Linked DNA regions of Elephas maximus indicus. The protein of the gene in region 2 purifies or fractionates together with the protein of the main gene of each other region. This does not show direct contact. Links are inferred from orthologs where the notes say so. Each region holds a gene or a part of one and is shown on either strand. Other genes may lie near its edges.

The links. Proteins that work in one complex are often made in the same cells at the same time.
Region 1: the proteins of GDI1 (region 2) and RAB8A purify together in Homo sapiens (co-immunoprecipitation; 6 studies listed by BioGRID and IntAct, counting the BioPlex papers as one, with this or other methods). This does not show direct contact. The link is inferred for Elephas maximus indicus from reciprocal best matches to the Homo sapiens genes GDI1 and RAB8A.
Region 3: the proteins of GDI1 (region 2) and RAB5A purify together in Homo sapiens (affinity purification with mass spectrometry; 3 studies listed by BioGRID and IntAct, counting the BioPlex papers as one, with this or other methods). This does not show direct contact. The link is inferred for Elephas maximus indicus from reciprocal best matches to the Homo sapiens genes GDI1 and RAB5A.

What each region holds. Positions count from the first base shown.
Region 1 is NC_064821.1:36,342,967-36,350,636, reverse strand, and holds the start of RAB8A (ras-related protein Rab-8A), read right to left. Parts: upstream 3,015-7,670; 5' UTR 2,981-3,014; coding exon 2,857-2,980; intron 1-2,856. UniProt on the Homo sapiens protein: The small GTPases Rab are key regulators of intracellular membrane trafficking, from the formation of transport vesicles to their fusion with membranes.
Region 2 is NC_064846.1:2,006,399-2,013,479, forward strand, and holds the start of GDI1 (rab GDP dissociation inhibitor alpha), read right to left. Parts: upstream 3,002-7,081; 5' UTR 2,890-3,001; coding exon 2,845-2,889; intron 1,689-2,844; coding exon 1,581-1,688; intron 1,418-1,580; coding exon 1,318-1,417; intron 1,187-1,317; coding exon 1,052-1,186; intron 559-1,051; coding exon 360-558; intron 138-359; coding exon 6-137; intron 1-5. Other genes in the region: ATP6AP1 (V-type proton ATPase subunit S1), read right to left, coding at 4,346-4,555, 4,777-5,008, 5,097-5,144, 5,837-6,075, 6,461-6,546. UniProt on the Homo sapiens protein: Regulates the GDP/GTP exchange reaction of most Rab proteins by inhibiting the dissociation of GDP from them, and the subsequent binding of GTP to them. Promotes the dissociation of GDP-bound Rab proteins from the membrane and inhibits their activation.
Region 3 is NC_064845.1:19,813,858-19,821,647, reverse strand, and holds the start of RAB5A (ras-related protein Rab-5A), read left to right. Parts: upstream 1-4,776; 5' UTR 4,777-5,127; intron 5,128-5,232; exon of another isoform or gene 5,233-5,576; intron 5,577-7,790. UniProt on the Homo sapiens protein: The small GTPases Rab are key regulators of intracellular membrane trafficking, from the formation of transport vesicles to their fusion with membranes.

The DNA of each region.
Region 1 (7,670 bases), on a different chromosome or scaffold from region 2:
CAGGCAGAAAATGAACAGGCACTCAATCTCTGATCTACGAGGAAAACCCAGAGGAACAGGCGGTGCCAACACAGGATTGTCTTGGCATGAAGCTGTATTTCAGAGTTCAGCAGCCCAGAGCTGACTCTACCCCAAACCTTCCCCACCTCCTGATGCAGAGAGACAGGGGTCCACGAAAGAAAGCAGCCCTGCCTGATTGGTGGAGCTCTGAGACAACACTCTGCCCCACACTTCTGGGTATTACGAACACACCCCATTTGATTAGGAAGTGTAAACTTTATGAGGCCTAATGATTATGAGGCCATAACTTCAAGGTCGAGCTCAATTAAACTCTCCTAGAAGGTGACCTGGGTGGTGCAAATGGTTAAGTGCTTGACTACTAGCCACAAGGCTGACAGTTTGAGTTCACCCAAAGGCACCCTGGCAGACAGGCTTAGTGATCTACTTCTGAAAGGCTAAAACCAAAAAACCAAACCCAGTGCTGTCAAGTCAATTAAGACTCATAGCAACCCTATAGGATAGGGTAGAACTGCCCCACAGTTTCCAAGGAGTGCCTGGTGGATTCGAACTGACAACCCTTTGGTTAGCAGCCATTAACACTTAACCACTATGCCACCAGGGTTTCCTCTGAAAGGTTACAGCCTTGAAAACCCTACGGAGCAGTTTTACTCTGCACATAGAGGGTTGTCTTGTGTCAACTAACAACAACAAAAGAAGACAGAGGGCTGCAGCAGGCTACAAATGCAATGAACAGAAGACTGGGGCAGGAGGGAGGGGTCCTGGGTTCAACGCCCACTTCCAACTCCCTGTACGACCCTGGGCAAGTTTTCTCCTCTCTCTGGGCCTGGTCTCCTTGTCTGTAAATGGAGGAAGCCAGCCTCCTTGGAGCCCTCAAATGTTTGATTGGGTTTTCTGATCAAAAATTAAAAACCAAATAAAAAAATCTAATGCCGGAATCGAGCTCACCAGCGCTCAAGATTAGCACGATATGGGTTGAGATCAAGCCACAGTCTGCCAGGAGTTAAGGCCACTTCCTGGTTTGGAAGGGAGGCAAGGGCCATCCCAGGGTTTGAACTTGGGGTGGGGGAAGTGGGAGGATTCAGATACACCTGTGCCCCAGGGTGAGATGCTGTCCTTGCAGGAGCCATTCTGCTTCTGCTAGGCAGCCCCTGGCAGTGACAACAATCCCTTAGTCATCATATAATTCTGATCCTTGGCCACCAGGACACTGGCCAAGACGAGGGCACTACCCCTCATGAGAAGAAACAGCTGAGAGAAATCAAGTGGCTTATTCAAGGGCAAACAGCAATAGGACACCAGGTCTGATGGCTTCCAGTCTAATTCTCTCTACCTGACACCTGGTAGAATTCTCACCTTCCACGTGGGAGACCTGCGTTCAATTCTCAACCAATACACCTCGTGCACAGCCAGCACCCATCTGTCAGTGGAGGCTTGTGTGTGGCTATGGTGCTGAACAGGTTCCAGCAGAACTTCTAGACTAAGATAAACTAGGAAGAAAGACTTGGTGATCAACTTCTGAAAGTCAGCTGGTGAAAACCCTATGGATCCCAGTGGTCCAATCTGCAACCAATCATCAGAATGGTGCAGGGCGGGGCAGCATTTCATTCCCGCGTGTGTGAGGTCACTGTGGGTTGGGGCTCACTTGACAGCAGCTAACAGCAACAACCTCAGTTTAGTGACTGTCCCCCACATCCCCACTACCATGCAAAGCTACTTCACTTAATCTGTGCTATTCCCAGTAGAACTTTTTAATGTAAGCAATGAAATTTTTGTGGCACAAAGAGAAGCCAGCTTCACTTTGATGGATGTCAGAGCCAAGATGTAACAGGCCGGTTCTGTTCAACCACCACGTGGGCTGGCTCTGTGGAAAAGGCTGTTTCTCAAAGTGACAACTTGTGTCCTGGGCCTTGCAACAGGGCAGTTAGGGCTGTCTGTGGGAGCGGCTGATTTCAGTTTCTCATTGAGGCTTTTACCTGGCATAACCTTGGTGATGACAGGCTCCAGGGCAGCGGCTGTCACTAGCCATTGCTGTCACTCTTGAGGGATGGAAGGCAGGAAAGTAAAAGCTCCTGATTCCCTGTCATCATTCCTTCTAGAGGAAAACTTACCCAAGGAGGATACAGGGTCAGCCCCTGATCTCTCCAAGGTTAGGAACTGGACAGGTGCAGACTGGGGTCCTGTGCCTGTCCTGCAGGTGCATGCTGGCATCTATTTGGCATGGTTGGGCCTGAGTTTTGAAGTCAGACACTTGAGTCCAAATCTCACCCTCATCACGTACCGACTGTGTGACCTTGGGCAAGTCCTATTCTCTCCCTGAGCCTCAAACTCCTCATCCCAGCAGACGGGGCTCTCAACAGCACCTAACCCAGAGGACAGCAGAGAGGGTGATAACGTGCAAAAAGCGCTTGGCAAAGAGTAAATGGTCAATGAAGTCAGCTGACATGGTCCTTTCACTACAGTTAACTTCCTATGCCTCAGTTTCCATTTCTGTAAGATGGGGACCCCCAAAGAACGGCTTCGAGGGCTGCTGCAAGAACTGAACGCAATGACAGGCGCGAAGACCTCAGCCCAGGGCATACACTCCCCGACGAGCGGGCTGAAGATCGGGGCCTCAGTCTCCTCATCTGCAAAATGGGCACTTGGCTCCCCCCACTGCTCCCAGGGCCCGGGAATCCCCGACGGTGGTGGAGGTGGCTGGTCGTCGTCCCAAGGGCCCCCTCGAGCCTCTAAGAACCCCTAGGGCCGTCCGCCCTGATCTCTCCCTCAGTCCCGGCCCCTCAGGCGAGCGCCCGGCCCGAGCCTCCCGTGCCCCCGGCCGCCCTCCGGCCACGCTACCTATGGTGGAGATGAAGGTGGAGTTGAAGGCGTCCTCGGAGAAGCGGAACAGGACACAGGTCTTCCCCACCCCCGAGTCCCCGATCAGCAGCAGCTTGAACAGGTAATCGTAGGTCTTCGCCATATTACACTCTCTCCCCGACGGGAAGTGCGGCCAGCGCCTCGCCACTGGACGCTCGCCCCGTCCATCAGCGCCGAGCCCGCCCCCCATTGGCTGCCGGCCCACCGTACGTCACCGCGGCCGACGCCCGCACCCGCTCTCAGCCCTGCGCGCGGAGACCAGGGAAGGGGCGAACCGAGCACGGAGCCGGAAGCGGCACGAGCGTGCTGCCCATTGGCCTGTGCTCGGGTCAGAGCGGGCTGCGATTGGCTGGCGGTGCGGAGTTGAGGGGCTTCAAATGGGGAACGGGACGTGGGCGTGGCTCCCATGGTCCAGCTTCTTCCCGACTCTGGGGCGGCCCCGCCTCCCTCCCTTATGGGACAGGGAGGGCGGGAATCGTCGCCAACGGCCCCGCGCGCTGGCAGCCCGGGGGCGGGGGCCTGTGGCGCGTGCGTATGCGTGCTGGGAGACCATTAAGAGCCAGCAGAGGGCGCACGCGCGCAAGGGCGTCTGGTCCCGCCCCGACGGCCTGCGCAGCCTCAGCAGGCTTTGGGGCGAGCGCGGGAGGGAACGGTTCGGGGGGCGTCGTCGTCTCGGGAAAGCAGGGAAACAAGGGGCGTACGTCGCAGTCGGAAAGAGGCCCCTGGAGATCCCAGTGCTGGACGAGGAACCTACCTGAGGCTTCCCGGCCTCTGCCACCTCAGTGGCCTCACTGCCCCAAGCTGCGCCCTCAGGGCCCCTGAGGCTTCTCAGGACCAGCCCTCCGACCTAATTGACCTAATTAGAGGTTTCCTGGTGGTCTAGTGGTTAAGTGCTACGGCTGCTAACCAAAGGTCGGCAACCAGGCGCTCCTTGGAAACTCTACGGGGCAGTTCTACTCTGTCCTCTAGGATCGCTAAGAGTCGGAATCTACTCGACGGCAGTCGGTTTGGCTTGGTTTTTGGTCTGGCAACTCTGCCTCGAGGCCTCAGCCTAGACTCGGCCGCCTGTGCCCAGTCAGCTCTCAGAGCTGCACTTGGGGTGCGGGTGGGTGTGGGAGTGTCTCAAGACCCTCAAGGGCATGAAGGATAATTATAGGTAACATTTATGAGCAGTACTTCCGTGCCTAGCAGTGTTCTCAACGCTTTATGTATTTAACCGCCACACCAACCCATAAGGTAGGTATTGTTTATCCACGTTTTATGGTGAGGAAACTGAGGCCAGGGAGGTTAAGTGACTTTCCCAGGGTCCAAAGTGAGAAGTTGGTTTTTGAATGCAGACCTGTAAGACTCAGAGGCCAAACTTTTTTTTACTATTCGTTAAAATAATTTTATTGTGGTGAAAATATAGGTAACAAGACATACACCGTCTCAACAATTTCTACATGTATATCAGTGACATTTGATTATACTCTTTGAGTTGTACAATCATTCTCAATATCCTTTTTCAGGAGGCCAAGGGGGCAAATGGTTGGCAGTTCGAACCCACTCAGTGGTGCCTTTGAAGACAGGCCTGGCAATCTGCTTCCAAAAGGTCGTGGCCTTGAAAACTCTATGGAGCAGTTCTAACTCTGCACACATGCGATCACCATGAGTCGGAATTGACAGCAACCAGCAAGAAGCTCTTGGTCAATATGGTTTCCTGATTCTCAGAGATTGATGGTCCCAACTGCGTGCTTGGGCTCAGGGCCTCACATCACTTGCTGGAGCACACAGAGAAGCCTGGAGACTCGCCTGAGGATTTTCCAGAAGATGGCCCCAGCTTCTCCTACTCCCTTCCACCCCAGCTTATTCATCTGCTAATTAGTTCTGGTCAAGAAACACTTCAGCCAGAGCCATTGACCTTCACAGGCCTTACCCTCTGTGGTATTTTTATACTATTGACCACCTTCCCTCTGGAAATTCTCTTTCTTGACACCTCATTTCTCCTACCACCTACCTCCCTTTCTTGGGTACTGCGTCTCATTCCATTGCAGTCTTTTTTGGAGGTCTCTGCTTGTCCCTGAGCAGTGCAAATGGTGAACATGCTTGGCTGCAAACAAAGTTTAGAGGTTCCATTCCCCCGCTCCAAGGCATCTCAGAAGAAAAGCCTGGTGACCTAGTTCTAAAAAATCAACCATTGAAAACTGTCTGGAGCATAGTTCTATTCTGACACACGTGGAGTTGCCATGAGTCTGAGTTGACTCAATGGCAACTAGCAACTTCTTGTTCCTTAAGTGTCGGTGTTCCACATGGTTCTTTCTGTCCTAAGTCCTTTCTTCCAGTATCTCCACACTATTTCTCGGTTCTTTACCCATAGTCCAGTCATGCTTGCATGTCCGAGTGGGTTTGCCAAAGATAGTTTAAACTTAACATGTCCACAACTGAGCTCATCTTCCACTTAGGTGAGGGCAGTGGTGGTTCAGTGGTAGAATTCTCGCTACGTGGGAGACCCAAATTTGATGCCTGACCAATGCCCCTCAGGTGCAGCCACCACCCATCTGTCAGCGGAGGCTTGCATGTTGCTATGATGCTGAACAGGTTTCAGTGGAGCTTCCAGACTCAGATGGACTAGGAAGAAGTCCTGGTGATCTGCCTCCAAAAATCAGCCCATGAAAATCCTATGGATCACGATGGTCTGATCTGAAACGGATCATGGGGGGTGGCGTAGGACCAGGCGGTGTTTTATTCTGTTGTGCTTGGATCATTGACTTGATGGCAGACAACAACTTCCACTCAGACATGCGTGTCTTGAATTACCTTCTGTGAAACCTAAGTCTCTGACATCTTTCACCCCTTGCATCCTGGAGCTTCTAAATAGCTCTTGAATTTTGCTCTTCCATTTCCATTTGTTACAGTCAGGTCCTTATATTTCTCCACTGGTCTTCCTGCTCATTTTCTCTAATCCAGCCTCCACCCTGTAGAATGTTCACTTTAAAACACTTACCTTATTACATCCATCCCTTGCTTAAAATCCTTCAGAGAGCCCCCAGCAGCATAACACCCCAGTCTTTAACCTAGCGTACACCCCACATAATCTAGTCTTCACCTCACCCTGTGATTCACCGATACCTCATGGGGTTGGGAACTCCCCAAGAGCTGAGCTGAGACAGGTTAAAGAAGCGTGGATCGCTTAAGCCAAGTGCTGAGGCATGAGGATGACCAAAACAGTATCCTGAGATTACAGCCTAAGTGGGTGGCAAGAAGGGAGAAAACAGACACGTAAGGGGTAACTTCAGTCCTAACAATGGTAGCACACATAGAGAAGGGGGTTATACTTTATTCAGTGATATTCCCAGCAAACAAGAGCCTGTTGCCGTCGAGTAGATTCCAGTTTGTGGCAACACCATGAGTGAAACTGAGCTCCATGGCTTTTTTTTTGGTGGTCGTAACCTTTACAGAAGCGGATCACCAGGCCTTCTGTGGCGCTGCTGGGTGGGTTCAAATCACTAGCCTTTTGGTTAGCACCTGAGCACAAACCATCTATCTGTGCCACCCAGGCAACGGACAGTGTTAGATAAATGTCAAATTAATATGTTTTTAATTGTAGTTGTTAACAGAAACCTGTTTGCATATGCACTTAATTTTTTCGTCTTTCACTTCTCTTTTTGATCCCTCCTCCACCTGCCCTCCCCTGAAATAACCCGTTGTGGTTGAGTCAGTTCCTACTCATAGAAACCCTACAGGACAGACTAGAACATGGGGTTTCCAAGGCTGTAAATCTTTAAGGAAGCAGACAGGCTGGTGAGTTCGAACCGCTGATCTTCCAGTAAGCAGCTGAGTGCTTTAACCACTGCACTACCAGGGCTCCTTCCCCCAAAATAAAGGGACTGCAATTCAGGCAGTGAAACTGGAGTCATCTTGGACACTCCAAGTTCCGTCAGCTCACTCTTGAGGTTGCTTCCTTCAGATCGTCTCTTTCCTCCCGTTCCTTGGCAACCACTGTCCTTATCCTGGTCTTCTTGCCTCTAGTCTGCCACACCCTTCCCATTGTTGTTGGGTGTCATGAAGTCAATTCCGACTCATGTCATGGTGACAGAGTAGAACTGCCCCATAGGGTTTTCTTGGCTGTAATCTTTTATGGAAGCAGATTGCCAGGTTTTTTCCTCCTGCGGAGCAGCTGGTTGGATTCGGAGCAGCTGGTTGGATTCGAACCGCCAATCTTTTGTTTAGCAGCTGAGCTGTTTGCATCACTAAGGCTTCTTACCCCCCCTTAAAACCCAAAAAAGCCCCAAACCCGTTGCCTTCAAGAGTCGATTTTGACATCCTTTCTTAAAATGAATGCTAAATGGATTTTCCTAATGCAGTACTTAGTCTTCCGTGGCTCTGCACTCTAGACCAAATTAAGTTAAATCTAGGCTTTCATCAGTCTGGACCCAGCCTATCCAGCTTTCTTATTTCTGCAACACACAGAAGGTCTTAACCAAACAGGTCCTGTGCTTTCCTGACTCAGGTTACGTGGGCCATCTTCCCTGCTCCTATCACCATCTATTAAAATTCTACTCATTCTTGATAGCCTGGTTCAGGCAAGATTGGGGATAACTAAGAACAGGAGCTTTTGTGTTACTGAGACAAAGTGCTCTCATCTGTAATATGAAGAACATAATTGTTGAATCATGAAGTCATGATATAAAGCCAGTAAAATTTGCTAAGTTCTTGGCACAGTTACCTTCCCATCAATTGACCAAATATTGAGAAGCAAAGTTGCTGGTATGGGCCCACACATTCTAAAACTGACACAAGTTGTAGTTTATGTA
Region 2 (7,081 bases):
CTCACCTTGCAAATCCCTGGGGCAGCTCGCCAAGGCCATAGAGAGGGTATAGATACGGGCTTTTCCCATACCGGGCCAGGGACTCGCTGTACAGCTTGATGCGGTTGATGGTCTCAAGACAGGGCTGGTCCAGGTAGCTGAGGAAGCAGAGAAAGATGCTCAAACAGCAGACCCCCTCCTGCCCGCCACCTCACCCCAACCCAGGCACTGAGCCGGCCTTCCCACCCCCTGGGGAAGAACCATGGGTCACATGCAGAACAACAGTCTGAGTGGGTAGCTGAGCACAGAGGGCATAGAAATCAGGTGTGTGAAGGGCAGTGTTCGAGGAAGGGGACCGCCCCATCCCAGCTTCCCCTCACTCATCAGTGCGATAGAGCGCCAGGGCGTGGCCAGTGAAGTCAATGACGTCCTGGCCCAAGTCAAACTTCCGGTAGACATCGCGCATGCTGGTAGTCTGGGGGTCAACCCCTTCAAAGGTCTTGGGGTCGTTCTCATCAAAGTTTGCCACAAAAACCAGGAACTTGCGGAAGCGCCGTTTCTCAAACATGCCCATCAAATCTGAAGAAAACGTTGTGAGGGGAATCCTGTTGCCACGAAATCATAAACCTCTTCTTCCCACCAGGTTAGAGCAAAAAACCAGGAGCCCAAGCTCCTAGCTGAAGACTGCCACTGACTAGGTTAATCCCGCTGCCTCTCTAGACCTCAGTTTATCCACCTATACAAAGAGGGGGCTGGGCTGCACAGGCTCTAAGGGCCCTTCCAGCTCCAAGGCTTGGGGATGCTTCACAGATCAAGTGGAAACCCTTTCAAAGGTTGAAGTCTTTCAACAGGAGGCCCCATCCACGCCCCTCCATGTCTGGACTTCTACCCTGGCAACAAGCCATGAGGCATGACAGGCGGCACACACGGAATAGAGCAAAGGGCCACTGGTACCGTACGAGAAATAGAAGCCTGGGTAAAGGGGCACCTTGGTCTGGACCTTTCCACCCGTATTAATAAGGGCAGTCTGCCTCCCCCACCTCCCAACTATTCTTTGGCCCAGGGAACTCACTAGAAGCCAAGGCTTCGGTCTCAGTGGATGGCACTTTGTAAATCTTGCCCCCCTTATAGACGAAGCTGCCCTCTACCACTTTAAAATCCAGGTAACGAGTCACCTCTGTGTACAGCAGCATCTTTACCAACTGTCCTGTAGGCAAAGGAGAACAGCAGTATCAGCATGGCCCCCTTCTTCTAACTGGCCTGACTACCCCTTCTCTGGAGCCTGACCTGCTTCTGGTCTTCCCGATCACCCCCCAATACCTTCTTCGTCCCCCTCACCATTGGCCATCAGGAATTTGGGGATCAGGTCAACATTCCAGTCTCGGCCCCGGCCCATCGACTCAGGAGGCCCCTCCAGGAGCTGGAAACGCTTATACAACTGCAAGCAGGACAGGAAGAGATACCTCAGGGCCATCCCCTCCCTCCCCAGCCCCCAGCCCTGCTGCCCAGAGAGAGAACCTGGGGAGCTGCTTCCAGCGCATGAGAAGGTTGATTAAAGGGATGGTAGGTTTCTATTTTTTAGGGGTGGGGCTGAATCTCACCTCCTCCAGGGGCGTGATGGAGGAGCTCTCCCCGCCATAGTATGGGTTCCGGTCCATGTGCAGCACCTTCTTCCCATTCACAGACATGATGCCAGACAAAATACATTCCTAAGGGGAGACGTGACAGTCCCTACATGACTCCCCACCCACACATTCGCAGTAGGAGCCCTGACTGTTCCCCACCCAGGAACTTGAGAAAAGAGCAAATCTAAACAAGGACCCTGTGCCTGTGGACAGCTCCTCCTCACCAGAGCTGGTCACCTAACCTGAAACCGCAGGCCAGAGCTTCACTAGGCTTCTCCTCTATACCCTGCTGAGCCAAGAGATGCACAAGAAAAGAAATAACAGCCGCTTGGAGGCAAAGACCGCTCCGAGCAGCCCACACGCCCAGAAAGCCCCCGTCGACGTAGGGGCCCTAGGGCCGCGGAAAAGGCGGCTAAGACACAATGAGTCCGAGGAGCGCTGCTAGAACTCTAGGCCCCAGGGCAGACCCGGCGGCGGCAATCCGCCCGCCCGCCCGCCCCGGACCGCGCCTCCTCCGAAGGTTCGGACGACCCTAAGCCTTCGCGGCCACATCTGCGGACGTTGTCCAGCTGGGTCGAGGCTACGGGGAAGAAGCCCTAGTCGGTGTCACCAACCCAAGGACAAAGGCTGCGGATCTGACTCAGCCCGCGGTCGCCATGGGGAACTGCGGTGGGGGAGCGGAATGTGCTCAACGGCCCCACTGCTGCTGCTTCTGGAACATTCACTGGGTCCCCCGGCCCCAGAAGCAGCTGGGGAGACGGGATGAGGGCCTACCCTAGCGAGACACCGTGAATCGAGATGGACACCTCATCCTTCATCGGATTAGCGCAGATAGGGGGCCGCTGTGCGGGCGATAGGGGGCCGGTGGGCGGGGTCGGAGCATCGGGGCGTCGCCCAAGCAGGGTGCGTTTCCCGGCCCAGCAGGCTGGATGAGAGGGTCGTGGAGGGGGGGAGAGGTCCGGGCCCGAGATCGCGGGGGGCGATTGGGAGGGGCACCCCGCTGAGACGGGGACGCGGCAGCGGGTAGAGGTGAGGTCGGGTGGGGATGGCAGCGGAGGCTGTTTTTTCGGGGGACAAGAAGCGCCGGGGGCATCCGGCGCTGGGGCTGAGGGGCTGAAGGGCTGAGGGTACGGGAGAGGACGGGAGGTCGGGCCGGCGTCGTTTGGGAAGTGCATCATCGCGGGGATAGGTGGTCGCGAAGTGGGGCCACGGGCCACCGATGCCGCGAGGGCGGACTCACGGTGAGGCCGGTCCCCAGCACGATCACATCATATTCCTCGTCCATGGTTCAGTCCTCGATGCCAGCGCCAGCTCCGGCTCCTCCTCCACCTCCTTCACCACAGCCGCCGCCGCAGCCGCCGCCGCCGCACTGGACCAAAGATGGCGGCACGACGCTCAGACGTCCGACGCCTCCGCCGCGTCAAAGAGTCCCGGCTCCTCCCCGCCCCCCGCCGCTCTCAGGCGCCGCGCAGCCTCAGCAGCACGCGTCCCAGTAGGGCGGCTGGGGCCCGGGCTCGAGCACCAGCGCAGCTCTCCCAGCTGCCTGTTTCTGCGGCTGCTGAAGAGTGGGGAGGGGCGGGCTGGGTGGTCGGCGCAGGAGGGGGCGGTCGGTTCTGCGGCCCCGCGAGGAATCCGTCCGCGGGAGCCGCGCGCGCCCCGCCCCGCCCCGCCCCGCCCCGCCCCCCGGGATGCTGGAGCGCGCGCAGCGGCCACGCACTGCTGCGGAGGGCCGGGGGCGGCGTGTTGGGACTGGCGGCGCGGGGCGGCCGACCGCGCCCTCCAGCCCTCCGGGCGGTCCTCCTCGGAAGCCCCGAGTATCTTTTATCATGGCGGCCTCTCCCCCCAGGAGCTGCACGTACCGTGACTCAGCACCGCCCCGACCCTCGTCGCCCCGGCACGGACCCCCATTCCTGCTGAACCGTTGAGGGCCTAGCTGGCAAAAGCCTCTCCCAGCTTCTGGAGGTGCTGCCAGCTGGACCCCCGCAAGGCCGCTGCACCCCTTGGCGGGCTCGGCTACATCCAGGCCCTTCCTCCCGCCTCTCTTCTGTCCGTGGAGAAATGAGGAACCAGAGGCCCAACGCATGGCAACCCGTTTTTATTTATCAGTAAAGAAAATAACTGAGTGCCCCAGGCTGCTGCCAGGCCCTCCTGGTGGGAAAATGCTAGAAATTCAGGGATCACACTGAACCCACCTGCCATGGAGGTCCCTTCCTTCTCAGACCACAAAAATAAATCCCACTGTACTGGGTGTTTTGTTTGGGTACTGCTGCTTTTTAGCACGACATCATCAAAAAAGATCAAACAACGACAGCTAAGCAGGACACACAGTTAAATACTACTTCTATACTCCCCAAACTCGGGGACTGTCAAGCTGCAGGCTGCTGCAGGAAGCCCTGTCAAGCTTGGGGAGGGGGCATGTGCCGCACACAAGCACTGTAAACAGTAAGCGGCGATGTTGGAGAGAGGAGAAAAAGGGGGAGAAGCAGTCCCTAGAATTAACGTTCCCTCTCCCTCACCTCGACTGAGCCTGGAAGATTTGTCTACTTACTACCTATGCAGAATGTACATACATCTTGTTGGGAGACACAGGGGGGCCCCCCAGGATGGAAAGGGAAGGGAGCCAGGGTGAGGGACCTTGGGGTTTCATGCTATGGCAGCCCTCCAGTCTGGCGTGACCAGAGGTGGAAAAGTGACGACCAGGACACTGCCACGCCCCTCGGCCCCCCAGCAGCGCAGGGTGGTCACACTATCTGGGTCAGAGAGATGGCAGGGCCCTTGTGGTCATCAAAGCGGTCCATAGTCTTGAGGCTGAGGATCATGTGCAGGCCATAGGTGAAGATGAAGAGCATGAAGAGGGAGGTGAGCAGCCCCATCCAGATGCCCGGGGAGAAGAAGCCGGCACAGTCGCTGGCGTAGGAGAAATGCTCGCCCGTCACATTGAAGGCCTGGATCTGGGGCCAGACAAGACACAATTGGTGGGACCTCATGGCCCCCTGCAGTGAGGATGTCCAGCAAGGGCTGAGATCCCCCAGGTGGTGGACATTCTGAGTCTCCCAGGGCCAGGGGCACTGTGGGAACAGGACTCTCAACTACAGGAGCCCAGATGAGGCCACTGAAGACTCTTGAGGCCTCTCTCCTCCCCCTACTCATACCGTAGCTCCCCTCGCCATACCTGGAAGTCCTGGAGCGTCATCTGCCAGAGAGAGGGTTGTATTTGGGGCACAAGGAGATTGCCATTCTTGGTGAGGCTGCTGACATACTGGCAGTGGAAGGAGTAGATGCTGGGCCCAGTGACCTGGGAGGCGTTAAAGTAGGTGACAGAGCCATTGCTGTGGATTTCAAGGCGCTCCATGGTAAACCAGTGCCGGGCAGACACTGGGTAGAAGCGGTTAGCCAAAATGAACCTAGGGGTGGGCAACACAAGTGGTCAGGCATGTGGGGGAAGCCAGAGCCACACCCAGCCTGCCCCACCTTGGCGGCCCCAGAACTCACTTGAATGTCACTCTGGTACCAAAGAGTTGCTCGTAGGTCAGTGTGAGTCTGTGGGGTCAGAGGAAAAGGCCGTGAGTGGCTTCAAGGACCGAGTTTCTCACGTCTACCCCTACTTAGCCTGCCCCCAGGTCTTCATGACAACTGAGGATGTAGTGCTCCCTCTTTACAGATGGGAAAACTGAGGCCCAGAGAGGAGAGTGTTTCCCCCAGTCACATTTCAACTCAGGAATGAGCTAGAAGCCAGGTCTTCCGGCTATAACTCAAGGCTCATTCCTCTGGTTCCTAGAGTCCACTGCCTCTTCTTTCAATTCCACGTGGGGTTGCAGTGATACATGGGTTGGGTTTTTGGGGGTGAGGGCAAATGGAGGAGTAGCAGTCTCCCTGGCCACACAGCAAGGGCACAGGAGCCCCACAGCTGGCTCAGGAAGCTGGCCTAGTATTTGCCCTATGTTCAGTCCAGGAGATTCCGCTCTAGGGGACGCACCAAGTTCCCAGGTGACCATGAGGCGTTAACGACAAAGGCCCCAACCAAGGCCCAGAAAGCATGATGGAGGCAGAACTCTGAGCAACTCCCCCTCCAACAGCCCCCACCCCATGATACTACCCACACCCCACAGTGACCACACCCTACAAGGCCATGCCATCCCCACGTCCGGCTGCCTCCCCGCCAGCGGCCCTGACCCACGGAGGCAGAACATCACCTCTATGGCCAAGCTCCTCCCCAGCCCGAATGTCCTCACCCAGCGGCAGAGTTGTTCCAGAACGAGCCAGTAAGGTTGAGTTCCTGGGCCCCAAAAGTGAGGGAGGTCAGGTCCTCCCACTGGTCCTTATAAGCCACAGAGAAGTTCTGGGCCCAGAGTAGGATTCGGGGGGCTGTGTCATTGTAGCTCACAGGGGGGTGAGGCACATCCGTCTCTGTCGTTTTTTCTAGCAGCTGTCGACCCAGACCCCCAGACACCATGGCTGCATCCCGGGCCACCTGTGGAGACAGCCAATGAGCCTTCTCACCACCACCCTGGACCCAAGCCCTAAACCAGCTGCCCTGCCCCCAGGAAGGCAATCCTCTTCACCACACCAACACCCACTGGCCAGACTCAGAGCCCTTCCTTCAAGAAGCCCTCCCCAGCCAGCCTGCACCCTGTATTATCTTCCTAATTCCTTAATCTCAGGAACCACTTTGACTAATTTTCACATACACCAACCCATGAGCTCACAGGGCAAGATTATCACCTGCTGCCTGGAGGGAGGAAGCTCAGGCCCTCCATACAGAGCCGCCCCATGTCAACGTCCTCAGCCCACAGCGGCCCTGCCTGTGGCCCGCCACCCCTCACCTCCCAAGGCACCCTGCGGGGAAGGGCACGTACCCTGGAAGGGCGGACTGCTGTGAGGGCTGCGGTGTACGGGACATCCTCGGACTTCAGTGTGCTCAGTACCTGCCCGATGACCTCGTCTAAGCAAATGGGGAGAGCAAAGAGCCGGGTCACGTGCTGATGACGCACAACTGGATCACCTGGTTGAGGTGGGGACTGCCAAATGTCCCCGTTGTGAAGCACCACCACCACAACTGGCTCGTCACCTGTGGTGTGGTGCTTTAACACCCTTGCCAGAGCCAGTTCCGCATCAACCTTTCACCAGATGTTTTTAGTAGCTGTTGATGAGCCCAGACTAACAGCAGCTGTTTCTCATCCCGCCCTCCATCCAGCCTCCCTTGGGCCCTGGGAGCCTTGATTATCGATTTCCTAATGACAAGGTGTAACAAAGAGAAATGAAAAAATACAAACAGACAGGGATATAAATATACAGACATATGGGCATGGATATAGAATATGATACGGATACAGATATAGAAATGCAGATATAAATATGTAGAGATATGACCATAGTTACAGACCCCGCCACATACATTCACGTAAGACTCCCAAGGAGGCCCTGGATGGTGCAAACAGTTAAGCGCCTGGCTGCTAACCAAAAGGTTGGCAGAGAGC
Region 3 (7,790 bases), on a different chromosome or scaffold from region 2:
CTGCTACTTCATGGGAGTTGATTGTGGATCCAAGTAAAATGAAATCCTTGACAACTTCAATCTTTTCTCCGTTTATCATGATGTGGCTTACTGGTCCAGTTGTGAGGATTTTTATTTTCTTTATGATGAGGTGCAATCCATACTAAAGACTGTAGTCTTTGATTTTCATCAGTAAGTGCTTCAAATTCTCTTCACTTTCAGCAAGCAAAGTTGTGTCATCTGCGTACTGCAGGTTGTTAATGAGTCTTTCACCAATCCTGATGCAGCATTCTTCTACATACAATTCAGGTTCTCAGGTTATTTGCTCAGCATACAGATTGAATAAGTATGGCAAAAGGATACAACACTGACGCACACCTTTCCTGACTTTAAGCCACGCAGCATTCCCTAGCTCTCTTTGAACAACTGCCTCTTGGTCTATGTATGGGTTCTGCGTGAGTACAATTAAACATTCTAGAATTCCCATTCTTCACAGTGTTATCCATAATTTGTTATGATCCATACAGTCGAATGCCTTTGCATAGTCAACAAAACACAGGTAAACAGCTTTCTGGTATTCTCTCCTTTCAGTCAAGATCCACCTGACACCAGCAATGACACCCTGCGTTCCATGCCCTCTTCAGAATCCGGCTTGAACTTCTGACAGTTCCCTGTCGATGTACTGTTGCGATTGCTTTTGAAAGATCTTCAGCAAAATTTTACTTCTGTGTGATATTATTCCCCGCCCCCCCATCTCCACCCTGCTGTTGAGTCGATTCTGACTCGTAGCAATTCCATAAGGTTTCCAAGGCTGTAAATCTCTACGAAAGCAGACTGCCACATCTTTCTCCTGCAGAGCTGCTGGTGGTTTCTAACCGTTGACTTGTCGGTTTGCAGAGATAATCACTTTAACCCCTGTGCCACCCAAGTTCCCTGGTGGCGCAGTCGTTAAGCTTTCAGCTGCTAACCAAAAGGTCAGTAGTTTGAATCCACCAGCTGCTCTTTGGAAACCCTATGGGACAGTTCTACTCTGTCCTATAGGGTCACTATGAGTTGTAATCGACTCGACAGCAACAGGTTTTTGTTTTTCTTGTGTGTGTGTGATATTAATGATATTGTTTGATAATTTCCGCCTTCTATTGGAGCACCTTTTTTTGTAATGGGCACAAATATGGATCTCTTCCAGTTAGTTGACCAGGAAGCTGTCTTCCAAATTTCTTGATACAAATGAGTGAGTACCTCCAGTGTTGCAACCATTTGTTGAAACATCTTACTTGGTAGTCTGTCAATTCCTGGACCGTTGTTTTTTTCTCATTCCCTTCAATGCAGCTTGGACTTCCTCCTTCAGTACCATCAGCTCTTGAGCATATGCTACCTCTGGAAATTTTCCCCACAGAATCCTTCATTATTGCAACTCCAAGCTCAAATTTTTTTCTTCAGTTCTTTCAGCTTAAAAAATGCCAAGCATGTTCTTCCTTTTTGGTTTTCTAACTCCAGGTCTTTGCAGATTTCACTATAATACTTTACTTCATCTTCTTGAGAAGTCCTTTGAAATCTTCTGTTCAGCTCTTTTACTTTATCATTTCTTCAGTTCGCTTTAAAAAAAAAAAGCTACTCAATATCCAACAGCAAGTTAGGAGTAACCTCCTGTTGTGCAATTATTCATTCAACCAATGTTTGTTGAAAACCTGCAACATGAAAGGAACTAATTTGGATCCAGGGAACATGAATACCTGGAACAGCTCCTCAGTGATTCAAGCAGTTTGCAAAGCAATTGTGTTTAAGAGTTCCACTGCTAACCAATAGGTCGGCAGCTCGAATCTACCAGGTGCTCCCTGGAAACCCTATGGGGCAGTTCTACTCTGTCCTATAGGGTCGCTATGAGTCAGAATTGACTCAACAGCAACATGTGTAACCCAAGGGTAAGGAGCCATGGTGGCACAATGATTAAGAGCTTGGCTGTTAATTGAATGGTTGATGGTTCAAACTCACCCATCACTCTGTGGGAGACAGATGTGGCACTCTGGTTTTGTAAAGATTCCAAAAACCAAACTCACTGTCACTCAGTCAATTCTAACTCATATCGACCCTACAGGGCAGAGTAGAACTGCCCCACAGGGTTTCTAAGACTGTAAATCTTTACAGAAGCAGACTGCCAAATCTTTCTCCCACAGAGTGGCTACTGGGTTCAAATCGCTGACCTTCTGGTTAGCAGCCAAGCGCTTTAACCACTGCACCACCAGGGTTCCTTCTGTAATGATTAAAAAAACAGCCTTGGAAATCTCATGGGGCAGTTCTATTCCATCCTATAGGGTGGCTATGAATCGGAATCTATTTGGCAGCAATGAGTTTGGGTTTGGGTATCATAGTGAAGATCCTCTTAAGCTCTGTGAGAAACTGAACTTTGTAATCCTAAGAAGACTGAAGGGCTGAGGAGAAAAGTCTAGGAACTTTCTGAGGCAGGATGTTAGAAGAACCATTATAGAGAGTAAAGCAAAGTACTGGGAAACCACAGAGGAAAGAAAACGATAATTAAATCTGGGAGAAGTATACATAGACGCTGTCTAGAAGTTGGCATCCCAACTGAGGTGAGCCTGGCAACGATGGGCCAGGTAATGGTGTTCAGGTGGAGAGAACAAAGTAAGATGCCAAGATGGGAACATGTAGGTATGACGCATCATGCTTTTCCGGTTAGCATGGAGGAGCATAGGGTGGTTAGGGGATGTAAGAAGGTGAGTTGGGACTAGAGCTAAAGAATTTTGGACTCTATTAAGCAATGAGATATCATTGAACATTTTTGAAGAGGAGAGTGGCTAAAGTGTGAAGAGTAGATTAAAAAGGCAAGCTGTTTCTGCCATCTAGTTGATTCTGACTCAGAGTGACTCTATATGGCAGAACACAACTGCTCCATAGGGCTTCCTACACTGTAATCCTCACGGGAGCAGACAGCCAGGTCTTTTCTCCTGCTGAGCGGCTGGTGGGGTCAAAGCACCAACCTTTCAGTTAGCAGCCGAGCATTTAACCATTGTGCCACCAGGGCTCCTTCAAAAGGCAAGAACGTGCATTAATTCTAGCTTTTATGAATACTACCATGGCCCAGGCTTTGGGATTAAAAAAACACAAACCGTTGCCCATCGAGTCAATTCCTATTCATAGCAACCCTACAGGAGAACTGCCCCGATAGGGCTTCCAAGGAGTGGCTAGTGGATTTGAACTGCTGACCTTTTGGCTGGCAGCCGAGCTTTTAAGCCACTGCACTGCCAGGGCTCTGGCTTTGGGATTATAGCTCAAATTTTGAGACTAGAGAATTTTTAGCAACAGAGTGGACAATGGTTTATGAAGAAGAGAAGGAAGAATTGATGATTCTTTAGTTTCAAGAGAGGGGGGGACTGAGAACCTGTTAACACCAGTCACAAAGCAGAAGCAGGTTTGAGCAGAATAGCTTTGGTTGTCTGTTCTGGGGTTTTTTTTTTTTTTGGACGTGCTATTTACGTGCCAAAACTAATGTGAGGTATCCTCTTTCCTTATTCTTCCTGGGATTGTCCAAGAGGTATTACCATGACTAATATTATATTGGAACAACCCCTCGAGGATAAAGTGCCACAGATACCATTTAGGTATGACACGTTACGCTCTTCTGGTTAGTTATTGGGCAGTTGATCTGAATGAATGCGTGCTTAAGGGTTCAGATCATTTCTACTGCATTATGTTGGCAGAGTACCCACAGGATGCCTTGCTCTGATATACTTCAAAGACAATATCATGTCCCTTCAACAGGCTATAAATTGTAAACTGAAAAATGGTCCTCATTCTGAGGGAAAATCAATTTAACATTCTTCCTCTGAATTGCTAAAAGGATTTTGTTTGGATACAGGTGTCTTGCAGAGACTATCTATTGTGTGGGATTTTACTGAAGAAGTATGCCTTCAGTAGGTCTGCTGTAGAGGGTAATCAAAGTCTTGAGCTGGCTTTCAGTGGAATGTCTGTTTAAGAACTCGGGTCCTGGAGCCAGCTAGTAAAAAAAAAAAAAAAGTAGGTTAGAAAAACAATTTCATCACTAACTAGGCAGTTACTTTGGACAAGTTACTCAATCTCTATGCCTCAAATTCTTTACCTGTAAAGCAGGCACGCCTCATTCATTCATTCCATAACCATGACTGAAGATAAGTGGGTTCCAGGCACTGGGCTAGACACCAGGTTTACAGCGTTGAGGGCCACTCTGGGGGTTACTATTTTAATGTAGGAAGCCAAAGGAGAAACACGTTAGTTTCAAAATGAATACCTAGGAGTTTAAGAAATGGGATAATTCCTGGAAAGCACGTGACATGGGGGGCAGTAGAGCAAAAAGCCCCTTAGCCTAGTTGCCCAAGATTGAGGTGTTCCGGTGTGGGGAGAGGGGGGCTGTGAGCTAATATTCCCAGAGGGAACCTCGCCGCCCAAAAGGGCTCGGAGTAACAAATTTAGCTCTTCAGGTCTTACCCCCAAACCAGGCAGTAGCGAGTATGCTCCGCCCACGCCGGGAGCCCCAGGGCCCCGGGCTCTGATAACAAAGGCGCCAGCGAGGGCGGGGCCGCGCGCGCCTGTGATGGGGCAGGGCAGCAGGCAGCCCGACCCGACCCGGCCGCTCGCGGGCATCACGTGACACGCCCATCCCGCGAACGTGCTCCCGGGGTGGGCGGGGCCTGAGAGGGGGCGGGGAAGTGGATAGAGCGGTCGGACTGGCTACGACAGGAAGTGACGAAAGGGCGTAGTTCGCTACGTGCAGCGACGTGGCGGCGGGGTTGGCGGAAGTGGCTCCCGCGCTGGGACTTGAGTGTTTGTGTTTTGGTTTGTGAAGAAGCCGGCGGCCGGCCTAAGGGGAGGAGGCGGAGGAGGGAGGAGGAGGAAGAAGTGGTCGGACCCAGAGCGCCGGCGGCGACGGAGGAGGAGAAAGGAAAGAGGAAGGCGGAGCGGGGAGAGGCGGAGACGGAGTCCGACGGGGGCGGCACCAGCGGCACGAGCCCAGCACCGTCCAGTCTGAGGGGAGCGGCGCAAGGAGGAGACGCTGCCGCCGCCTAAGCCACAGCCTCAGCCTCAGTTTCATCCTTCGGGCTTGGGATCTGCTGCCGGGAAGCTTTGGCCCCGCAACCCCGCGCGCTGCGGTCGCAGGTAACCCAACCGGCCCCTCCCCCTGCCAGATGGGGCCCAGACCCCAGGTTACCCGCGGCCCCCAGCCTGCCTGCACCCCTGCCGGCAGCGAGCCCCCGCCCTTACTCCTCACGCGTGCCGTTGCTGTGGGCCAGAGCGTCGTCGAACCCGGTGGCCGGTCCAGTCGGCCCTGGTGACTCATCCGTCAGGGGGCTTTACTGACCGGGATTTGGGGACTGGCTGTGGGAGGGACGGGTGTCACCCTCTCCCTTCTCAAGATGGCGACGTGGGAAGAGTACTGGAGGCCGCGGCTCCGCCTGGCGCCTGCCGTGGCCGTCTTGGGGGTCCCGGGCAAAGCCAGGCTGGGTTCTCGGGAGGAAGCTGCGAAAGATTGCCAAGGGGCCTTGCTGGTCTTGCGTATCCCGGCGATCTGGAGTTGGCCAGCAACTACTGGGGTACACTACTAGGAGGAGCCGGGGCCTACGGCAGGTGTGAACTGGGGGGAGCTCCGCCTACCTTCTACTTCCAAAGACGGGTGATCGTGGAGGTGGGGTGGGGAGGCTTTTCAAAATAGGCTGTCTAGAGAGTCGTGTGTCATCCATGGAGGATGGTAATCCACAGTTTTAAAGAAACTCAAGATAACCAGACCTCTGGACCCCCTCGGCAAATAGAGACCGTGAAGTCTGCTCGGGTGTTTTTTTCCCTGGAAACTCGTTACCCCTCCACCTCCCCCCGCCCGTGACTTTTAGACTCGTTAAGCTGAGAACATCATAATCCATCTATTTGGCTTTTGTGTTTTGCTTAAGTGGAGCCTAAGTGTTGAGTTAGTTGCTTTTCTCGTAATAAAGAAAAAAACACTTATGGGAATATTCAGGACGGTTCAGAAACTTTAAAATGGGGATAAATAATATGAGCTCATCGGGTTGTCGTGGTTAAAGTACATAGAACAGTGCCTGGACAAAAGAAGTGCCCAGTATGTTAGCTGTTATTAGTAAAAATTTGATCAAAGAGCACCTAGAAGGACTTTAGTTATAGAGTACTGGTTATTTTCAAAAGGTTTAAAAATACGTTATTATGCAAAATCCTTGTTTTGCCGTACAGACGAAAGTTCCAGCAAGTAGTGAATACAAATGAATGCACATAAAGTATTTTTTAACCTTAATGTTATGCGAACTGTGTGTTGGCAATTCGATTTAGTTTGCTATTTCCTGTTTGAGACCCTTGGAGAAATATAACCCAGTAACTTTAACCCTTGCAAGGCAAAGCTAGATCAGATTCTCGGTTTTCACGGGAATCTGATGTTTTCCCCGAAATTTTAGAAATACCATCAAAATCCTAGCATGTTGTCCTTGATAACTAATTGTTTGCTGTTTTGTAGATAACATGTAACAAACAATTGGAGAATGTTTCAGCTGCTGTTGTGTGTAATATTATTTCAAGGTGTGTTGGTTCATTTTCAGTCTGAAGGACATTTAATCTTCTCTTCAGATGGCCACTTGAATTGCCAGTTTTCAGGCCCTACTGTGTTTTGGGCATTGTGTTAGAGATTCATTTCATGTGTCGTCTCATTTAATTTTCACAACAGCTCTACACATTACGTTTTACAGAAATTAAAGAACCTAGGCAGGAGTCGGTATAACCGAGATTTGACCCTCAGTCTAATGTGTTTAAGGTAGAACATTTTTTTTTTTAATTATGAAAAATTTTTAAAATATTCAAAAGTAGGGAGAATAGTATAATGAACCCATCACCAGCCTCAGTTGTGTTATGGCCAACTTGGTTTATTTATGCCCCCATTGTTTGAAAGCAACTCTCAGACAGCATATCATTTCATCTGTAAATATTTTAGTGCTGGTTAAAGAAAAAGATACAGTATTGATAAAGGTAAGAGCTCTTCAGAGCTGTTGGATAGGTGATTTTATTGTCTTGATCCTCCTGGCTATGTTTATTAATGATTTCATTATCAAAAATGTTCCTTATATAAACACAAGTTTTATGGAAAAGCAAATTTTCTATATGGGGTGACTAAATAAAATAGAAAAGAACTTTTTAGGGAGAGATTCATCTTCAGGTTTCGTATATTTTATTGGCAAGCACGCAGTCAGATCTTGATTAAAGATGGGAGAAAACTGTTACGATAGCTTTCTGATTAGATTGAAAAAATGGAATGGATTCTTCAAATATTTACTTATTCTTTTTGAGATCGAAAGTTGACATTAGATAATGATAAGAGAAGACGTGGAAACTTACCACCCAGGTTAATTTTTTCAAATGTGTTGTTTAATAGAAAATAATGAGATTTATCGTTAATGACACTGTAGAAAAGTATAGTAAATAAAACACTAATCCCACCACAAAGAGAACCACTGTTAACGTTTTTTTCGTATGATGTTCTTGAGCAGATGAGAAAACAGTTTTAAGTCTCTTAGCCACTAGACACACAAACCTGGGGCCTTAAAATATGTTACTCCAAATTAATGAAAAACATGCACCATTTAACAGAGGCTTTCAAAATTAACATATTTTGAGCTCTTTTGGAGTGCCAGGATCTGTTTTCAGAGATTTCCAAGCTAGTTCTCAAAACTATTTTAACTCAAGTCCTCTAGCTCTACAATGTGAACCCCGAGCCACCTCTGGAGTTGCCTGGGTTTGAAACTCAGCTTTGTCACAGCTCTGTCACAGCA